2 linked regions of the Yarrowia lipolytica genome follow. The protein of the gene in region 1 interacts with the protein of each later gene in a pairwise test. Links are inferred from orthologs where the notes say so. Each region holds a gene or a part of one and is shown in the gene's direction. Other genes may lie near its edges.

Evidence for each region.
Region 2: the proteins of YALI1_D25419g (region 1) and YALI1_B21323g interact in a two-hybrid assay, tested with the Saccharomyces cerevisiae proteins (2 studies listed by BioGRID). The link is inferred for Yarrowia lipolytica from reciprocal best matches to the Saccharomyces cerevisiae genes RIM20 and VPS4.

What each region holds. Positions count from the first base shown.
Region 1 is NC_090773.1:2,538,153-2,544,702, forward strand, and holds YALI1_D25419g (uncharacterized protein), read left to right. Parts: upstream 1-3,728; coding exon 3,729-6,050; downstream 6,051-6,550. Other genes in the region: YALI1_D25370g (uncharacterized protein), read left to right, coding at 1-1,029; YALI1_D25400g (uncharacterized protein), read left to right, coding at 1,893-3,401; YALI1_D25450g (uncharacterized protein), read right to left, coding at 6,248-6,550. UniProt on the Saccharomyces cerevisiae protein: Required for the proteolytic cleavage of the transcriptional repressor RIM101 in response to alkaline ambient pH, which is necessary for sporulation and invasive growth.
Region 2 is NC_090771.1:2,128,494-2,136,412, forward strand, and holds YALI1_B21323g (uncharacterized protein), read left to right. Parts: upstream 1-3,821; coding exon 3,822-5,108; downstream 5,109-7,919. Other genes in the region: YALI1_B21313g (uncharacterized protein), read right to left, coding at 1-2,828; YALI1_B21356g (uncharacterized protein), read right to left, coding at 5,289-7,115; YALI1_B21381g (uncharacterized protein), read right to left, coding at 7,877-7,919. UniProt on the Saccharomyces cerevisiae protein: Involved in the transport of biosynthetic membrane proteins from the prevacuolar/endosomal compartment to the vacuole. Required for multivesicular body (MVB) protein sorting.

The sequences.
Region 1 (6,550 bases):
ACCGAGGAAGAGGTCGACGACGAAGCTGAAGCTGATAAAGATGGATTTGCAATCCCCAAGCTGCCTTCTAACAAGGCTGTCACTAGTGTTTCTGCTGGATCCGATATAGGAGGAGCTACTCCTGCTGGGATGACTCCTATCAAGCGGGACGCTCTGGGTTTGGTTGGATCTGTCGAAGCTACTCCTGTTTCTATTCTGCGCCAGAAACTGGCCTCTCTTCCTAAGCCCAAGAACGATTTCGAAATCACTGCGGAGGACGAAGAGGAAGATGAGGAAGCTGATAAGGAAAAGAAGCCTACAGATAACTTGCCAGTTGATAAGGGCGAACAAGCTCGATTGAAAAGAATTGCCGAGGAGCAGGAGCGACAAGAAGCTCTCAAGACTCGTTCTCAGACTCTTCAGAGAGGTCTTCCCCGGGCTACTGTTCCTGAAGTTACTTACAATGATGCTATCGGTCAAGAAGTAGTTGCTCTTCTCAGAGAGGAGGAGCTTAGGTTTCCCAATAAAGGCGATTCTGTGGCTCTAATGCAGTCTGAGTTCTCTCTCGACGACTTAGTGGATGCCGAAACTTTGATTGAGATGGAACTGATGGAGGGCGATGAGCAAGAAGTGCAGGAGGAGGATATTAAGACGGCTGCTCTTCCTGGAACAGTTGCTCGTTCCGACGAGTCCGAGGAGGAGTTCAAGACCCGTGTGGAAATCATATCCGACCAGCTTGTTGAAACGCTAACTTCTCTTGCGGAAACTTGCCAGACCGAAGAGACTGCTCTGGTGGACAAGTTTAAGGCGTATGCCAAGCGCCAGGCTACTTTATCTAAAAAGCTGACTTCTCGGTGGTCTCAACTTGAGTCTGTTGAGGTCGAGATTGCCGTGTTTTCCGAGTTAGCCCGCATGGAGGAGATTGCCATTGAGCAGCGAAGCGCGGCTCTGCAGGAGGAGGTTGACTGGCTCGTCAAGAAGGAACGTGCCGCGCAGGATAAATACCGTGAGTTGAAGGTTAAGGAGCAGGCCGCCAAGGGTGGCCATTAGGAGTCGATTAGTTAAGTAATTATTTATTGTGCATTTTGAACAGCTGATGGAGCAACAGGGCTGGTGAAGGCCTCTGCTCCGGGGTGCTCCTGCGCTCGGGTAGATACAGCACAAGTAGGTGGATCCTTCCGGAAGTGGCGATCCGGGTCGTTTAGTACTTTTTAGTGGGGAAGTGGAGAAGTTCTAAGCGAATACGTTTGTATACTTATTGACTATATGAATGGTGGAATGAGGAACGATTGCGGCAGCAGATGATGCACTTGTGATCTATTAAGACGTCAATCCTCCCCCTACGTGTGTGCTATCAGGCTACTGTTCATTTGGCCCCCAGTCAAAGTGCGCCAGAGGTTGGGCTCGACGACTATCATCGCTAGTACATACTTGACGTCTACATTTCTAATCCTATCTCTGGTCTAAAAAGATTTTCCGACAGTCGATTTATAATACAAGAGCTACGAGTATGTATATAACTACGTATATACTCGTGTAGAAGCGGACCGGAGGCGGGGACTCAACGTACTAATTTGGACTGACGAAGTTGGAGAAGCTGTCGTTGAGGAGTGAGACGTTGCGCAAGGCTGCAGATACTTGAGAGCATGTCATTATATAAGACTCCACAGTATCTTCTTGGCTCTCGTATGGGACAATAACAGACCAATACTGTCTCTATCCATTCCGGGACTACACATGGCCACAATGTTTCACCAATAAGACTGTGGTTGGACCGCTAGACTAAAGGGCGGAAAAGCAGTTCACGCCTGAGGGGTCATGATCTCGCCATTTAATGATTAAACACGACTTTTGATATCCAGGCGTATATATAGACCTGTCTACTCGCTCAATCTGTCTGTATACATGTCAGCATGGATTTTGACAACTTCCCAGCACCAGATCTGTCTCCAAAGAACATCAAGAGGTACCTAGTCACTCGAGTCACTTCTTTGAAGCCTCCAAAGCTCACGGTTGAGGAAAAAAAGCACATCAACCCGATTCCTGCCCTTCGACTTCTGAACAGGAAGCAGTGGTTGTTTGTAGCTGTGGGATTCTGTGGCTGGGCTTGGGACTCGTTTGATTTCTTTTCTGTGTCGCTGGTTGCATCTGAAATTGCCGAGAGTCTCCATGTGTCTGTCACAAGTATCACCTGGGGTATCACTCTTGTGCTCATGTTGCGATCTGTTGGAGCTGTCATCTTCGGAATGCTGTCGGATCGTTTTGGACGAAAATGGCCCTTCATCACCAACTGTGTCTTGTTTATTGTCCTGGAATTGGGCACCGGGTTTGTACAGACATATAAGCAGTTCCTTGCCGTCAGAGCTCTGTTTGGAATCGCAATGGGGGGTATCTACGGCATGGCAGCAGCTACAGCCCTCGAAGACTGCCCAGTACAGGCCAGAGGAGTCATTTCGGGACTGCTACAGGAAGGCTATGCATTCGGATACTTGTTGTGTGTCGTGTTCACCCGAGCCATTGCCGATACTTCTCCTTTTGGGTGGCGCGCTCTTTTCTGGTTCGGTTCGGGTCCTCCTGTTCTCATCATCATCTTCCGACTATGTCTTCCTGAAACCGACACCTATCTTCTTTCTAAAAAGAACGCAGCAGAGGCCGAAGGTATTGAAAAGAACTTCTGGCGAGGCATCAAGATGACCTTCAAGACGTACTGGCTCATGTTTGCCTACCTGGTTGTTCTCATGGGGGGCTTCAACTTCATGTCTCATGGCTCACAGGACTTGTATCCGACCATGCTCAAGAAACAGCTTGGATTCAGCGAAGACCGATCTACTGTTACCAACTGTGTGGCCAACTTTGGAGCTATTGCCGGTGGCCTTGTTGTGGGTCACGCTTCTTCTTTCTTTGGAAGACGACTGTGTATCATGATCTCTTGTGTGATAGGGGGAGCGCTGATCTACCCTTGGGCCTTTGTCACCAACAGTGGAATCAATGCTGGAGTCTTCTTTCTGCAGTTTTTTGTCCAGGGAGCCTGGGGAGTCATCCCTATTCATCTTACAGAGCTTGCCCCTCCGGTCCTTCGATCGTCAATGGTAGGGGTGGCTTACCAGCTGGGTAACCTGGCTTCTTCTGCTTCTTCAACCATTGAAGCCACTATTGGAGAAACATTTCCCCTTTATGACAAATTCGGAAACGAAAAACCAGGAGTGTACAATTACAGTCTGGTGATGGCCATTTTGATGGGTTGTGTCTTCTTTTTTGTGCTTTGTGTCACGTTTCTGGGTCCAGAAAACAGACAGGCAGAGATGATCTCTGGAGGCTCTGAGCAGGATAATGCCTACGAGAGGAAGCTCGAAGAGATGGAGGACGAAGAGAAAGGGGTCACTGAGAACATTGAAAGACGTTCTTCGAGCGATACTCGATAATTGATTAATGTAGGGTGTGTGTGTGACGAGTAACGAGTACTACCTGTGGTTGAGAGTATGAACAAGTAAAGTACATCCTGTAGTCAATGAGCGGTCAAGTATCATGTTGCAAATTACTTGGCTTCTTAGTTTGATTTTTAATTTCCCAACTAAGAGTCCAATTACACTCTGTCTACTATGTTCTTATCACATCAACAATAAGCTCTCGCATACAACAACTCAATCAGCAACTTGTAAACATCGATTCGTGCCTACTGCTGAACACACTGCCAGCTACTGCTTGCAAGTGCGGAAACGACCCCAAAACACCAAGAGCGTCTTGCGACCATGCCAAACATCATCTGGATCCCGTTTCGGGAGACACAAGCTGTCGATCTAATCACAGGACTGGGCGACACCATCGAGAAGCAGCTGAACCAACCTCGAGACAAGTTTACAGCCGACCTGAAAACAGCCAACGACCTGCGTAACAACATTCTCAACCCGCAACCAAACGCCAGCTATCTCGACCACCTCACCAAGTACTACGCCCAATTGACATACTGGACTACCAAGTTTCCAGCCGGATGCGATAGCCTGGAGTTCATGTGGTACGGAACTCTGGCCTACACCGCCAATGCCGCCCCCGTCATCAGTCAAAGCCTTCATTTCGAGCGATGCAATCTTCTCTACAACCTGGGCTCGCTGTACAGTCAGATGGGCGTCAATGAGGGAAGGCAGGACGCAGACGGTCTAAAGATGTCATTCAATTACTTTCAAATGGCAGCAGGATGCTTCCAGATTCTCATTGAGAACGGCTTGCCAGACTTGGAAAGTCTCAACATGCGAGGACTCGAATATGACACCATTTGCTGTGTTAGAGATCTCATGTTGGCCCAAGCACAGGAATGTTTCTGGCAGAGATCGCTGCTGAGTGGCTCACGAAACTCTCTGGTGGCAAAGCTCGCGCAGCAGGTATCTCTTCTTTACGACTCGGCGCTCGCCTGGGCCCAAAAGAGCCCGCAGGTCCGAAGCGAATGGGTGCATCACATGACGTGCAAACGACAGCACTTTCTAGCGGTCGCACATTACCGAATGGCACGTGACGCACTGGATGGATGCAGATATGGCGAGGAGATTGCACGTCTCAAGGCTGCTCTTAATGCCATCAAGGAGGGGACAGGAAAGGGTATGCTCAGAAGGTACCTGGTGGAGAGCGTGGCCGATGATTTGAACGGAATCATCGACGTAGTAACCGAAGATCTCAAACGGGCCGAGAAGGATAACAATCTTATCTATCTCCAGTCTGTTCCTCAGACAACCGCTCTCGCTCCTATTACACCTGCACTGATGGTCAAATGTACTCCTCCCGTTGAGCTGGCTAAGCCCATAGAGTTTCTCACAAAGGACAAGCTGGGTCTTCCGCTGTTTGTCAAGCTCACGCCCTTTGCCTTTCACCAAGCCCTCGTTCTTTACTCTCAGGAATGTGATAAGATTGTTTCATCTATTGAGAGTCAGCTGAAGAACTGCACCAACAGCAAAAACCAGGCTCTCGTGGAGATGGCGCTACCGGGATCATTGGACTCGGTCGAGAAGCCCAAGGGTATTCCTGCCGATATCATTGCTCATTCCGATCAGATCAAGAGTGAGCGAGGTCTTGAGACCACCAGAGAGGCCGTTAAGGACGTCCAGAGACTGGCAGCTACCGCGCGACAGGAGCTAGAGGCCGCTAAGGCTGTTCTTGACGACGAAAGAAGCGAGGACGAGATGCTGAGACGTAAAAACAACTCTGGATGGACCAGATTCGACTCCAAGGAGGCTGGAGCCCACCTTTACACCCGTTTGGCAGAGCTGGAGCAGTATCTAGCTGATGCAGGGGCGTCTGATAAGCTTGTTCGAGGTAAATTGGATGAAATCGACTACCTCCTGTCGATTCTCAACTCAGGGCGAAGTGCTCTAGAGAACTACTTACCATCGTCTGTTTCTGGAGTTCGGTCTCCCGAGGTCAAGCGGCAGGTGCCCCACTTGCGAGATCTGCTGAACAATCTGGAGTCATTGGAAATCAAACGAGCTCAGTACATGGATCGACTGTCTCTAAAGCAGCAGAATGACGACATTGAACCTGTTTTGGAGTATCACATGAATAAGCTCATTCGAGAGAAGCACGCCAACCTGCGTCTGACCCTGGCTGACTTCGAGCCCATCACATCCAAGGAGCTGGAGAAATACACTGTTGACCAGGACTGGGCCTCCGAACAAAAGGAGCTTCAGGAGGAGGTGCTAGAGAAGCTTGACGTTGCCAACAAGGATTTCCGATCCTCGCTGGACATGAACGATGCTGCCATCCATAGAGAGAACGCCATCCAATCTCTGGAGGTTGCTTACTTTAGCTACCAGGAACAAAAAGACCACCTCGATGCTGGGCGAAACTTTTACAACCAGCTTCTGGGTGAGATTTCCATCTTCCACAAGAACTGTAAGCAGTTTGTGTACGAGCGAAAGATGGAGGGAGCTTCTCTCGAGCACGAGTTGTCGTCTATGCACTTGTCTGAGCATGAACATAGCGGAGGCCACAGCGATACATCCTCCACTCCCCTAGCAGCTCCCAGAGCTCAGAGAGCCAGCAACTTGAGCATGTGGAGCCCCGAGGATGGTATTCGGTTTGGGTAATTATGGCTATACGAGTCTGGCATTTTGACATTTACTTAACTCAGCATTATTACAAGTATGTACGTCTGTACAGAAGTATGTATGTACATACTGTACTTCTGACTAATGCAGTTTCAATCACAGTAGTTTTACGAATGTAGATGATAAATGCATTGTTATATATAAAGCGAGTTAGATGGATTTTCGAGAGATGCTTCTTACAAAGTGCCAGGCTTCTTGAACTTGAGAACCATTTCGTTTCCGCTGTGTGTGTAGCCGCACTTTTCGTAGAAAGGCACGTTCTTGTCGGAGCAGTCGAGAATGACCTTGTATGCCCCGACCTGCTCAGCGATGGCTGTGAGGGTGTTGATGAGATGGAGACCGAGCTTCTTGCCCTGTTCCGATGAGGCCACAGCAATGTCTTCGATGTGACCTGCCGAGGCGCAGTGGTGGATCAGCTTTCGCTCAATGACCACAGATCCGATCGCCACGACTCGGTCCTTGTCGTTCACAATGACCAC
Region 2 (7,919 bases), on another chromosome or scaffold:
CATAGAATAAACTTGAGGTAGTCGTTGGAGGCGGTCTCACTGGGGGCATACACCTCGGTGACAACCACCACCAGAACCATGTTAAGAGCCATCCACACGAGCACCACTCGCGATCGTATGTCTCGGTAGTAATCATCTGTGACAGTGCTCATAGAGGGAGGGGCCGACTCAATCACCTTGTTCTCCCGGAGGTTTCCGAGAGCTTCTTCGTAGCCGGAGTCGATATCGAGCTGCTCAGAGGGCATCTCAATTTCAACCACGTCCTGACCAAAGTCCTTCTGGGCAACGGCAGATCCAAGATCAGGAGTAAGCTCGTTGTCTCCCTTAGTACCCCAAGTAACATCATGGGTGTTACAGAAGGAGTAGACCTGGAGGGTGCAGATGGACGAGGGCAGAAGCAGAATGTACTGGACTGAACAAGTTAGAATATGCCAGGGGTCCAGGTACAGGAAGGACATCACAGCATAAAGACCGTAGGTGGAGGCCAGGGAGACGAAAATGTTGGTGAACACGTTGTTTCCAAGAGACACAGTGTCTTCCAGAGTCAAGGTCTTGATGACAAAGTACAGACCCACTCCAGTTGAGTAAGCCGTGATCAATGCGAAGATAACCATACTGCCCAGGAACAGATAGTGAGAGCCCTGAGGTCGGTTACCCAAAGAAATCACAAACTGAGCAACGATGGTGGTAATGCAAAGATACTTGAAAATGACGAACAGAACGAGACCTCCATTGTTGGAAATGACGGCCGAGTCAGGGCCAGAAATGGAGCCTGCGACGTAGTAGAAAGCCAGGAAGAAGTTTCCGAGAGAGAAAAATGTAAACAGAAGCTGCAGGAACTGGTATGCAAACTCCACATGCAACAGGCACTTTCTCCAGACAGAATGGTCAGTCTTCCAGATCTGGGTGAAGTGGGTCAGAGAGTAAATGGCTGCAAAAAGAGCACCGTTGAGCCATCGTCGTCGCTGCGACACAAACTCAGGTACGCTGTCGGGCACATCAGTCTCTCCAGTAGCAGAAGGCACATACTTGAGCATCCACTTCTCATTGAGCTTAGCCACAAGCTCCCAACAAAGGATTCGATCTTCAGCGAGGTACATGTTGGAGGTAAACACATCAGCATCTCGACCATGCAGAGACTCTCCCTTGAAGTACGAGTTGAGAGGACCGGTTCCATCCGGATTGTTGCAGAGAGCTCGGTATCGGTAGGCCGACAGAGCTCCAGGAAGCACAGAAATATAACCAAACACAGACTCGAGGGGTTTGTCGAGGATGTTCGACATTTTGTACTCAAAGTTTTGAGAAGCCACCAGGGGGTTCAATAGAGCCCGCCACTGCTTACCCTTCATGGCGGTGATCTCTCCACAAGCTCCTCCAATGTTCGAGTCAGCGTCAAATGCTTTCCACAGATGGTAGAGTGAGTCCTTTCCTGGCTTGGTTCCAACATCCAGCAGAATGCACACGTTAGGCTGCAGCTGGGGGCAGAATGCGTTGAAGAGCCATCTATGCGAGTTGATTTTCTTGGCGTTCTTCTCCTTGAGACAGAACAGCAGCTGGACAGGCATGATACCTCGCTCAGCTCCCTGGAACTTGAGGTCCGAATCCAGAGACACCTGAGTGGTGTACTCGTAGAGATGTGCCTGCACCTCTTTTCCGTTGACGGTCTGCTTGGCAATACCATCTTGGTAGACACCCATTGCAGCCAGACAGTCGAGGACTCGAGGGTGAATTTTGGTTCGACCATCGGAGACGATAGTGACCACGACCTTCTTCCAGCCCTCCTTACCCCACACTCGCGACTTGTTTCGAGAACACAAGTGGGCAATGTTCTTCATAACAGCATGCATGGTTCGGGTAAAAGCCACTTCGTCTTCGTTGTACATGGTAATACAGATGCACAGCTGTGTTTCTCGCTCGTAGACAGCAGGTCGTAGGGTGAAGCCCTCGTCATTGAACTCATCGGGGGTAGCGGTACAGGCTGTGTATCGCATGTAGACAAACTCATCATTGTCTCGTCGTGGCAGGAACGAGTAAAGCTTGGTGGGGACGGGACAATCTAAGACCAGGTTACCTCGAACCAACTTGACCTTCTTTCGGGCCATGGACTTGTGACGTCGAGGCTGGGCTTGGAGGGGGGCCTCATAGAGGTGGGAGGCGACAGTGGCTACAGAGTGAGCATCAGAGTCATCCTCCTCGTCGTATTCCTCTTCATCGTGAACTCTGTCATCGAGGTACTTCATTCGGTAGCCGTTCTTTTCGTCTCCCTTTCTAAACTCCATTTCGTCGTCGTCATCTTCGTCGTGGTCGATCATAGAATCTCGGGAAGAGGTGGCGGTGATAGAAGAGGAGGTGGATTGTGAAGTGATGCTTCGGGCCAATGCATACTGGTGACCGTATCCGTGGCTAGAATGGCCGCCAGAAGAGGTGGACATGACAGACTGTCTCAAGTCACTGGTAACACTCATCTGCGACTGTCGTAGAGAATCGACTGTGGGGAACACAGGAGGAGGAGCCAGAACCGCATCATCATCATCGTCGTCAATGACAATGGGATCAAATTCACTCACAGGTGTCTCTCGACGAGTCCACTCTGCTCGAGGGGTTCCTCGGGCTCCATGAGCACTTCCATACCGAGTAGGGGAGCCGAAACGGGTCGGAGATTCGGCTCGAGGAGTGCCATAGGGAGATCCATAGGCGCCTTGTCGTTCAGGAGATCGAGTAGGGGAGCCAGGGTTGGAGAAGGGGTTGGCATCAATGTGGAGCGACTGACGCTGGCTGACAAACGCCGGCGACGGTGGCTCGGGCAGGTCTCGAGGCTTGTTCGACATTTGAGAGTCGAATTGGTTGTTACCGGTAGCTAGTGCGCTCTGTACAAAGAGGCGATATTTCTCTTATGTACCAACATGTCGGTGGTGCTGGGTCTACATGGTGCTGGTGTACTGTATAGTGCGAGGTGACTGTTTGTTTATACGCAACCTTGTTTTGGCAAGCACGGTTGGCCAGGCAACGGCGCTCCCAATAATTTTAGGGGTTATGCAAGATCTCTTATTGTTTGTCGCATAATAACACCACACTCCAAATATAGCATCGCAATGCAAGGCGAAATGACTACTGGAGTGGTACGTACTGGTACTTATTGAACAGTTGAATACAGTATGTACCAATATATTTACACGGACAAGTGACCGTAAGAGTCGGGGTCGCGTTTAATGAAATCCTTTCTTTTGTATACAGTATGAAGAAGTACAGTATTTGCTCCGCATCCCAATTGACTCTACTGTAATGGCCTAAATCCTGTCGAAACGTGAGATATTATCTTGGTTGTGCGTACGGTAGGCAACTTGTGAGATGTTTTGGTTCCCGAGGCGAGGCAACGTGCTTGTTTGAACAAGCTACGAGCATAAACTGCACCGGTTAAAGCTTGCTAGCAACTTGTGGCTTATTCAGCACGCCGACTACGCAAAAAATATTGGCATTGCCATCACCCAGAATCGAACTGAGGTTTCCACGGCCACAACGTGGTGTACTAACCACTATACTATGATGGCGGACTTTTATTAATTTGGAATCCGTGATAACTGCTATCCAAAGAATGAAAAAAATTGCCGCCGAAAGCGTTTAACACGTCCTAATGTGTTTATATGATTTCCAGCTATTGGATTTTATACATAACAACCCGGTTAGTTACGTTTACTCCCTTTACGACGTACCTTATCGCCACACCTCAGCCTTCCCACCTAGATTTTCAAACTCAAACTTGAGGTCCATCCACCACCTACAGCACTTATCGAGAGGTATTAACCCAACAACCACCCACACAAATGGCTACCGTGGACTTTTTATCCAAGGCGCTAGAAATTGTGCGCAAGGCGATCGAGGCCGACAACGCAAGCAAGTACGAGGAGGCACACGAATTGTATGTCAACGGACTGGACTACTTCATCAAGGCAATCAAGTACGAGAAGAACCCCAAGTCCAAGGAGCTGCTGCGACAGCGAATCACAGAGTATTTTTCTCGGGCAGAGCAGCTGAAGGAACATCTCGACAAGCAAAAAAGCAAGCCTGCAGCCCAAGCGGCAAAACAGGGAGGAGGAGCCAACGGCGGGGCCGGATCTGGAGACGACGACAATGATACCAAGAAGCTGCGAGGAGCTTTGGCTGGAGCCATCCTTAATGAAAAGCCCAACGTTAAATGGGAAGATATTGCTGGTCTGGAGGCAGCCAAGCAAGCTCTAAAGGAGGCAGTCATCTTGCCCGTCAAATTCCCTTATCTCTTCACTGGCAAGCGAAAGCCCTTGTCTGGTATTCTGCTGTATGGACCCCCCGGTACCGGAAAGTCGTACCTGGCCAAGGCAGTGGCGACCGAAGCCAACTCCACCTTCTTTTCCGTTTCATCCTCCGACCTTGTGTCCAAGTGGATGGGTGAATCTGAACGACTGGTGAAGCAATTGTTTGCCATGGCCCGAGAGAACAAGCCCAGTATCATTTTCATCGATGAGGTCGACGCTCTGTGTGGACCTCGAGGAGAGGGAGAGAGTGAGGCGTCACGACGAATCAAAACAGAGCTGCTGGTCCAGATGAATGGAGTGGGTAACGACGCTAGTGGCGTTCTCGTTCTGGGTGCCACCAACATTCCCTGGCAGCTGGATGCCGCTATTCGACGACGTTTTGAGCGACGAATCTATATTGCCCTACCCGATGCCGAGGCCAGAGCCCGTATGTTTGAGATAAACGTCGGGAACACCCCTTGTGCACTGACTCAGAAGGATTTCCGAACTCTGGCTGAGATGACCGACGGATACTCGGGTCATGATGTGGCAGTGTCTGTCCGAGACGCCCTGATGCAACCAATCCGAAAAATCCAGGAAGCAACGCATTTCAAACCTGTGGAGATCGACGGCGTGACTAAGTATACCCCCTGTTCTCCTGGAGACCCCCAGGCAACCGAGCTCAACTGGATGGAACTGGAGGACGGAACAGTTCTGGAGCCCGAGCTGACTCTCAAGGACTTCATCAAGGCTGTAAAGTCCACTCGACCAACCGTCAACAACGACGACATTACTCGTCATGAAGACTTCACCAACGATTTTGGCCAGGAGGGTAATTAGCATCGGAGCAGCGAATAACTAACGTTTGTCACGCATATATTAAGTAGATAGTTAATGAGATGATATGACCAGATTGTGTTAGTGCGACTTGTAATCTACTACTTGTAGTACGTGGAGACTCAATTCATTATTAATGCTGCATTACTTTATGTTCTATAGACATGTCTATTCCTTGCCAGGCTATAACTCCTCCCTCAAAGAAGGCTCGATTCTGGTACAAATGTCGACGAATCGTTCAAGGTACTGTTCTCGAGTCTTTCGACCCGTCCAGAACATGCACCACTCGCTACCGGGGATCTTGAAACTGCCCTTCGACCGGTCAAAGTACCACTTGTTCACGGGGTTGTTCTTTCGAGATCGCCACAGCAGCTCGTTGGGGAACTGAGACATGACCATACCCTTGAAAACCACATCTGCTACCGACGAAGAGCCCTGGGACCGTTTCAGAACGGCAAACTTATCAAGATACGCCACTTGGTTGGGGTTAAGAGGCACGGCATCTCCCAGTTTCTGATACAGAGGCGGCGAAGGAAGGGGGATACCTGCTGCATAGGCCGCAGCTGCCTCGGCAGCTGCTCGATCGGCAGCATCTCGATCCTCCTGGGCCTTGACTGGGTCAATGTCTTCCCATGTGATGATAGCTGCTCCCTCGTAGTCTCCAGCAATGATGATACCTGCGATTTTGCCGTTGACTCGGTTGAGATAATGCTGTTTGTCGATTCGTCGTCCAAAGGAGTCTTCAATCAGATGCCACAGACGGTCCAGATCAATGTTGCCTTTCTCGTGCTCAGTGATGAGGTTCAGGCCTTTGTCAGACTTGAGTGTAATGACAGGCATACCCTCACGCAGAAGAGTGGTTTCTAGAGTGGGAGTCTTCTTGAGCTCCACAGGTAGAGAAGGCGAAATCACAGGTCGGTCTGTGAGAACGTTATAAATGATGGGGTTTCGTCCTACTGAGGGAATGGCCGCCACAGCAGGAGTAGTAATGAGACCGGAAGCTGTAGGAGGCAGAAATTTGAGGGCTTTGTGCATGGCCTTGAGGTTGGCCAGATGTACTTCACGCTGAGCAGGAGGAATGAAACCCATGTGCAGCTCGGCAGCAATGTCCGATAGTTCCTGTTTGAGGTTGACAAAAACATGGGCTCCTGATCTCTCAACGGAGGGAATGCCACCCAAGGGGTCCACGAAAATAATCTTTTCCACCGACAGAATGTTTGCTGGTACTTCGGCCAGCTTCTGAGTGAGGAAATGCACCACGTCGTCCGCCATAACGAGCTTTTCCTCGGAGGTAACGTCGTCGTAAGCTAGGGGAGCCAGAACAGGCACTTTTCCATGCGACAAAGGATGCATGAGCATCTGGGGCATGGCCAGCCGAAGACCCTTCTTGTTCATGGAGAAGAGTCCCTCAATAGGCCGTGCTCCAACGTCTGGACTAGCCGCATCGATGGCATCCGAGATCTTGAACACCTTTTGCAGAATGAGCTTTTGGTAATGTCTGAAGGGCTTGTTGTCGAGCTTGAGGAAGTCGTTTCGGGCCTTGCCTGCGTCAACTACGACAATAGGCGACACACCCAGACGCGACAGTCGAGCAATGGTTTCTCCCATCTGAGCAATGAGATCATCCTCGATTGACTTGATGTCTCTGATCTTGATAATGGCTACTCGCAGAGTGCCTTCCGAGTCGCCCAACAAACCCTCTGGGGCATGGCCTGTCAGATTCTCAATCTCCTTGTTGTCCTGTTCCTTGCCAACTCCCAGTAGTCTCTGGACCAGTCCCTCTTTCTTCTTCTGCAGCTCCACACCCGTCAATGGTGCGTATCGTGAAATATACGTCTTGGCCTCTCGCTTGGTTGCTGCCGACTGAAGCACGGAGAGAATGAGATCTTTGGCCTCATTAGACGACTTGGCGGCTGGAGGGATCGCAGTTTTCGTGGGTGTCTTGGTCGTGTATGAGTGCCACCCGCGTGATACACAAGTACCGGCTGTTATTCGAGAAGATCTGAGCATGGTGTGTTATGTGTGACTGTGTATTGCAGCAGCTTCTGGCGATGTATTTTCTTAAAGCACTACGAAGAGCTGCTTATTGCGGGGACGTGCTATCTGCATGATTGAGTTCTTGGGCGGTAAAAATGTACTTTTCCAGTGGACTATTTTTTGCCGAGGGTAGTACACTGTAGATACCATGAGAATATATAGCCTAGAAGGCACTCTGGCTACTTTTAACACAATAAAGACTGTTAACTATTGACATATCACCTCTAGCCAAGTGCAATTACCTGTATCCATGTCTGTATGTCTTTATATGCATGTCGGGTCCGGTCCTCCCGGGCTCAAAGTGCTATTTGTAGATTGGAAGAGTTGCTGATACATGAACACACATGATATAGATAAAAGTCGCTGATAGCGATGCGAGGAAATTTCTGCGATCGTGTGTGTTCCAGTGTGTTTCTGATGCTATTTACGTCAAGTGCTGTTAAAACTGTTTTGGATATTACTTCTACTGACTCACTTATCGCCGAAGTTAGGCCGACACGGCTGAGTGGAGAGCTACTTGTTGGTAAGCACGACAACTAGAGACAGGGGAGCAACAGCAATGACCATATAACAACGAGTACTTGTACTGTATGATACTACGAGTATAACACCTACATTGTACTAAGTGTAGCGAGATTGTAATATGCTTAGCTAGGAAAATGTACTCAATCATTTTATATACGAGACCGGTTAAAATTTCACAATAAATATCTATACAGGTGTATTTTTTTTTTTTAGTGCGCGAATCTGAAATCCAGACGTCGGTTTCCTCGATCC